Mus musculus: one gene and its partner. The protein of the gene in region 2 interacts with the protein of the main gene of each other region in a pairwise test. Links are inferred from orthologs where the notes say so. Each region holds a gene or a part of one and is shown on either strand. Other genes may lie near its edges.

The links. The genes of interacting proteins can lie anywhere in the genome.
Region 1: the proteins of Kat5 (region 2) and Stx11 interact in binary tests that used the Homo sapiens proteins (3 or more experiments, as listed by UniProt). The two-hybrid records come from large-scale screens. The link is inferred for Mus musculus from reciprocal best matches to the Homo sapiens genes KAT5 and STX11.

Annotation. Positions count from the first base shown.
Region 1 is NC_000076.6:12,961,368-12,965,589, reverse strand, and holds the start of Stx11 (syntaxin-11), read left to right. Parts: upstream 1-1,330; 5' UTR 1,331-1,590; intron 1,591-4,222. UniProt on the Homo sapiens protein: SNARE that acts to regulate protein transport between late endosomes and the trans-Golgi network.
Region 2 is NC_000085.6:5,602,401-5,604,840, forward strand, and holds the end of Kat5 (histone acetyltransferase KAT5), read right to left. Parts: intron 1,937-2,440; exon of another isoform or gene 1,694-1,936; intron 1,590-1,693; coding exon 1,430-1,589; intron 1,316-1,429; coding exon 1,234-1,315; intron 1,153-1,233; coding exon 1,018-1,152; 3' UTR 614-1,017; downstream 1-613. Other genes in the region: Rnaseh2c (ribonuclease H2 subunit C), read left to right, coding at 50-169, 424-450. UniProt on the Homo sapiens protein: Catalytic subunit of the NuA4 histone acetyltransferase complex, a multiprotein complex involved in transcriptional activation of select genes principally by acetylation of nucleosomal histones H2A and H4.

The sequences.
Region 1 (4,222 bases), on a different chromosome or scaffold from region 2:
AGAGTGAGTTCCAGGACAGCCAGGACTACACAGAGAAACCCTGACTCAAAAAAACAAAACAAAACAAATGAAAAGCAAAACAAAACAGAAGGCTGGGGCATGGAGGAGAAAGGCCCCAAGGATAAAGTGTTACCTTTACCTGGCTTTAAGTATCTGACCTTGTGTATTGGGTGAACTGTGTGGCTGCTCTGTGTGTGGTAAAAACTACTTTCCGTCTCCTTTCCATACAGTCCTCTGTTGAGGTGAGGAGCAGGCTGGCCCACACTTAGAGTGCAGAGACAAGCTTCTTTTCCATGAAAGTGGAGTTTCTGCTTAAGTTGCCTGAAGTTGCTCTGCCCCGGAGATTTGTCTTTCTGGCCTTACCTGGCCTTACATTAGTAGATCGATTCATCGGTCATTTCACATTAGATGGATAACTTTGGGTTACCGTAACACCTTGTTCCTCAAATTCTTCTGGCGGTGGCTTCCTATCAATGCATATCATCTTTCTTTCTTCCTGTGTTCTTTTTTTAAGATTTATTAAATATTATTTATTATTATATGTAAGTACACTGTAGCTGTGTCTTTCAGATACACCAGAGAAGGGCGTCAGATTTCATTATGGATGTTGTGAGCCACTGTGAGCCACCATGTGGTTGCTGGGATTTGAACTCAGGACCTTTAGAAGAGCAGTCAGCGCTCTTAACCACTGAGCCATCTCTCCAGCCCCTCCTCTCATACTTTCTTTGTTTCTTGATGGCTAGCCTTCTACCTTGTTTGTCCAGCGGTTTCCCACCCCCTAGCCAGAATGCCCCTTTTCTGTTTCTGAGCCCCCAGTAGGGTGCCAGGCAACGAGGACAAGGTCGTGGCAATACTCCTGTGGGTGTCCCACTGACAGCAGGCAGGAAGGGGCTAGTGGAAGGCGGGGCTCAGTGTCTACGTGGTCCACAACCTCGGGTTAGGCAGTCGTGCGGGTCCCCGCTGGCGCAGCCACACCCACGCTCAGAAACGGTTTCTAGTGCCCTAGTTTCGGAACTACTCTGGACTGCAAAAGTCATCCGCGCTGAGGGGTTTTCCCGCGGAAAGTCCGATGGATCCCGCCCCGCCCATCTCTCCATCCCAGAGCAAGGAAGAAGAAAGAGCAAGTTCCCGGGTGGTCCACACCGTCGCCCGCAGCATCTCGGGGTGCACAGGAGGGGAAGAAGGCTCGTGCTTAGGTTCCCAGCAACCCGCAGCGTGGCGACCCCAGTCGGGACGGGAAGCTGCGCGCCTAGCCGAGGGCGTCCCCGGGGCGGGGCCCTGGTCCCCAGCTGTGCAGCCTCAGCGCGGCAGGGGCGGAGCCAGCAGCACCAGACGCGGCCCTGCGGCTCAGGGCTCGGACCCCGGCTGAGAAGCGCAGCCCGGGCCAGCAAGAAGCGGAGGGGGCAGAGCCGCGGGGACACGCCGCGGTGTCCTCCCGGCGTCCGGACGCTGGATCAGCGCCCCGCAGGATCACGGTTCGTTTTGTCCCGCGAGTCTGCTTAGCTCTCTAACTCTTTCGACATCGGGGACCCAGGTTCGGGGTTGGCTGGAGTGGTGGACCGCGCTGGCAGGGATGCTGCGCAGCTGCAGGTGGGTTTGGGGTGTGGTTCCCTCTGTGCCTCTAGGTACCTTCAGGACGAGGCTTTGGGTTTCTCACCTAGAGCCGAGAGCTTTTTTTTTTTTTTTTTTTTTTTTTTTTTTTTTTTTTTTTTTTTTATGTTTAAGAATATAATGCGTTATCAGAAGTGCTTCAGAAATGTAGACTGACTCTGAAGCTTCCTGAGGCAACTTCTGTTTTGAATTTTTGTTGTTTTTATTTAATGGAGGTGTTTTATTCAGTTCGGTCGCCACTTTCTCTAACACATCAGAATGGACACTTCTCCACTTGAACTTGACAGTATGACTCAGGAGCCAGGAAATACAGGAACACTGATACCGCGTTGAAACAGCTCCCACGGAGGATTTGGGGTAGTTTGTTTTAGGAAACCGATCTGATGGCTTTGCTTAGAGAACCACACCACGGAATTCTGTTGGCTTCTTTGGCTCCGCGAACATCAGCTGAGACCTGCGTTTTACTTCCTGTGACTCTCACACTTATTAGAGCCATTTCTCAGCAGAGGGAGGAGCTGTTGTTTCTACACGGGTATCCACAAATGAGTCACAAGTCTACTACAATTGCAAGGCTTTGTTAATACGCTTTTGAAAAGTGAGGTTGGATTCCTGTACTTTGAATAAGACCGAAGATTCAGTCTGGTACTGTCAAACTGGGGCAGGCGGCCTAGGAAGTAACTATTCAAGTTTTCAGTTTCCTAGAGCGCCTGATGGGACAACATGCCAGCTAGGGTCACTAGGCTGATCTGAGATAAACCCTTAAAATCATGTGCTTTCCCACAGAAGCTGAAGAGAAAATTAATTTCTTTATCCAATAACCATTTGGCTGTTGTTTTCACTAGTTGGTAGAAACTGGACATTTAATGAAGTGATTGTAAGTTACTCTGAAATTTAAAATATTTCAGAAAGTTTATTTTTACCAAATTAGTGCCTTAAAAAAAAACATATAGAAGCTTTTGAAGAAAGTAGATGGTTGCTGGAGCCAGACATTAAGATGCTGAGTCTCCCTGAGGCTGGATAAAGGCTCTAAGAAATAGACTTCCCTATCTAGGAGCTCAGTAGAGACAGGAATAACTGCATATCCTGGCTGAGCTGAGGTCAGCCTTAGACAGCAGTTGCAAGGTTCTGGTCTGTTCCAGCCTTTTCATCCAGGTCCATGCATGCAATATGGACACAATGCTATCCTGGCAGCCAGGGCCACAGCTGAGCAGATTCTCCTGGACATCCAACACCGTGAGATGGATGCTATGGGAAATTTATACCCAAAGAAGGTGCCCCAGTGTGGGGGATCAGAGTATCCTGGATCACTGCTGGGACAGCAAGGGAAGGTCTGGGTTCTCATCATCTGCTTGTCTTGGTTGGCAGCCTAGTTTTCATTCAATACATGCATGATTTAAAAAGCATATTAGCATATGTCTATGATTTAAAAGCCCATTAGGAAGGCATGGCTTTTAAAGTGTTTGAATTAACCATGTTTCACATTACTTAGCAGCTGTGTAAAGGCAAACCCAGTCTCTGTTATCATCCCTGGGCAGTTGGGGGCACTCTTTTAAACACCAGAGTGACTTAGGAGTGATTAGCAGCTGTCTACTCACCAGTTGATACAATAGTTGCTCCCCATCTGAGGACTGGCTTGACTCCCATGATTTTTGCTACCCAAGCTCTGAAATAGAAAGTTCCAGAATAGTAGTAGTATATTTTGATTTATTTTACTTGAGACATGGTCTCACTGTGTAGCCCTGGCTGGCCTGGAATTCACCACACAGACCAGGCTGGCCCAGAATTCACAAATTATCTGTCTGCCTGCTTCTACCTCCTGAGAACTCATATTAAAGGTGGGTGCCACCACACTTGTCAGTAAGATACTCTGAGAGGAAAAACATCCACACCAAATTAATTATAACCATATTGCTGCAATTGTTCCACCTCTAATTCTTGTTAATCTCTTGCTGTGAATAATTTGTGAATTTAAACTTTATCTTAAATATGTGTGCACAGGAAGCAGCATAAACAGGTGCCAGGCGTTCACTAGAGTCTCCTGGACCGGAAGCTCCAGGGTTAAGGAGGACCTAATCTCCCAGTCCTCTGAGGTGGCCCACTAGCAAAGGGCATCTGCCCAACCTAACAGCTTTCATCTCTACGTTTCATCTCTCCCTCCGCGGCCTCAGAGGCACATTTTCTAGAGGAAAGAAAAGATAAAAGTGTGTTATTCAGCATTGCATTTCTGGGCTTTGGCACAGGTTGACTCATGGTTAGCGGAAAGGAGCGTTGATTAAACAGTGAACCTGACTGTAGATGAGGGTTGTCCAGGAGCTTGGAAGGGTGGGTGGCCCAGCAGAAGGAGCAGCGTTCTGTGGTCAGGAAGCTCCAGTCTGTTTCCTGGGCACTGGGGGAGTGGGGACGAGCAGAGGGGAGGGCAGAAAGATGAAGGAGGAAAGATAAGACCGCCTAGGCCCGTGTGCCATGGAAGCCCCAGGACTTTATTCTGAGGAGGCCTCAGAGAAAACACACAGCATGAGAGGAATGTTTAAAACAGAGCCGAAGCAAAGGAGGCAGTGCTCACACTATAAAGTGCTTGCCACACGAGCAGAAAGGCTTGCGTTTGATTCCC
Region 2 (2,440 bases):
GGGTGAGGGCAGTAGCTGCTGTCCCGAGTCTCAACCCGGCCTTTTCCAGGACCGCCTTATCGGGGCCACCGGCAGCTTCAGCCATTTCACCTTGTGGGGTCTGGAAACGGTCCCGGGTCCAGATGCCAAAGTGCATAGGGCCCTAGGTTGGCCCAGCCTCGCAGCAGCGGTACGTATACTCAGGAGCCCTTTTCCTCCTCAGACTTGGTCAGTCCTTCTATCCGATTTGAATAGTGTCTCTAGTGATTTGGGGGCTTTAGGGCAATAAACACCACGGGGATCATGGCTCCGGAGGCCCAAACTCCCAGTGGTGGGGGGCATTCCCCACTTTTCTCTTAGACGAGGCTATCACCCTGAGCAGCTGGGTCCCCACCCAACTGCTGTGTATTATAAGTCACAAAGTAGAAGTGACTCCTGTTGCAGATTCACGCCCAGGTCCCTGAGGACTGAGAACCAGATCATGAGAATGACAGTCACAGATCCCTTCTCACCACTTGGAGCGACTGTTTCTATCCCAATAAATGAGATCTTCACAATGCCTGAGTCTGTGGGCACCTTAGCACCCTGAAGCTGCCATTACATGGCACCCAGTTTGGTAAGAACTCCTGATAGCTCTGCCTATATAAACAATTTATTTCTGGGGGCAAGAGGGGCCAGAACTTTGCAACCAGCGCCCACCCCACCCTCCAGCTCCTCCTTTATAAAAGAAATTTTTACAATCACCGGTCCTGTACAGAATGCTCCCCACCCATCTTAATGTACACAGCTGCCTGGATCCCTTTGGTCCACGTGTTCAGAGCGGACCTGGGCCAGTAAGCCAGTTATCCTCGGAGTTGGCCTAGACCTGAGCTTGCCTTGGCACTGGCCACTAGTGGGCCCCTCCTAGGCCTCTTCTCCTCTTGGGTCTGTTCTTCGGCCTGTCTCACTTTGCGTGCCTCTTCGAAGCTCAAATGGGACAAGACAGGGTGCTAGCCATGGTTCGGCCAGCTCTCGTGGTATGGCAATGGGTAGTGTGTGTCACCACTTTCCTCTCTTGCTCCAGTCTTTGGGAGTGAAGTGCAGACACTTGGAGTCAATCCGAAGGAGCCGCTTGAGCATAGCCCGCTCATGCCCATCCACGATGTCTTCTGACAGAGTTAGGATATACTGGCCCTGAGCAAGAGATAGAGCCAGCTCATGTCAGCTCAGAGCCTGCATCCATATCTCATCTATCCCCTGAGCATGCCTCCTAACCTTGTAGTAATTGATGAGGTTGAGATACTGCAGTGTGGAGATGACATCTTCTTTCTTGATACTAGTGATTTCACTGATCTCACTGTGGGGGTGGAAGTGGGGGAAAGTTCAGTCCCCTGAAGATATTCATCTGTCCCCAGAAACCCCAGGAACAGACAGACCAAACCACAACCCCCAGGTGGGCATTTGGGCTCACTTGATGGTGATCTGTGGCCTCTCCCCGCTCTCCGACTTCAGCCCCATCAGGATCTCCAAGATGGTTTGGGACCAGTAACTTCGGTAGGATAGGAGGCCAAGATCTGACAGGGGTTTCTCAGGAGTTCCGGTCTTCCCTTCTACTTTCGAGAGTTCATAGCCTAAAGCAATAGAGCACAGGAGGCGGAGTAAGCGTCACATGTACACAGCAGCTTATGAGGAAGAAGGGCTGTGGAGCTGGGCTGCCTGCCTGCCTCTCACTTACTCTTGGTGTGGACCAGCAGCTTCCCTGTCTGCAGTGTTGGGGGCCAAAGGCTAGAAGAGCAGCTCTGGTTGGGTACTTGTCAGCCAGTGAAGGCTGCCAGGATGGGTCGCTGCCCTGCCAGCCTGTGTCTGGGTGTATGGCAGTAATGAGGGAGCCCTTTGTGGTCTGAGGACATGGGAACCTTTTCAGTGTCATCAGTTTAGCTGCGATCCTGGGAACGCCAGCTGCTCTCAGCAGAATGGGCTGGGTGGTTAAGGACATAATAGGAAAGGACAGGGGGCTCCTCAGAGCCAGGTACCTGACCCTTGGTGGCCCTTTCCCTTACCTGTGTTGACCACAAGGCGCTGCCAGACAGTCTCTGAGACCGTTAGGCCCCAGTGAGCCGACAGCTCTTTATGTCCCCATTAGTTTGGAGACCCTTCCTTCCCCTCAGCTCTACTGGCCTCGTGATGATCCAAGCACTCTCGGCTCCTGGCTGAATCTCTATTTGTAGTCTCACCCTCTTTGCTCAAGCACCCTTGGACAAGAAGGGCGGGAGAGGCTGGTGTCAGGGTCCACACAGTTAATAGCCCCACAAGTCTACTGGCAGCCATATTTGCCTCTAGTTAGGAACTGTGTACAAGGATTGCCTCCCTTCCTTTTATCAGTCTGTTGGCATTTGTGTGTCCTACTGGGCAAAGCAGGCACATCCTCACGGTTTGCCCTGAGTTTCCTTTCTCCTGCTCTAATCGGGAAGATACTCCAAAC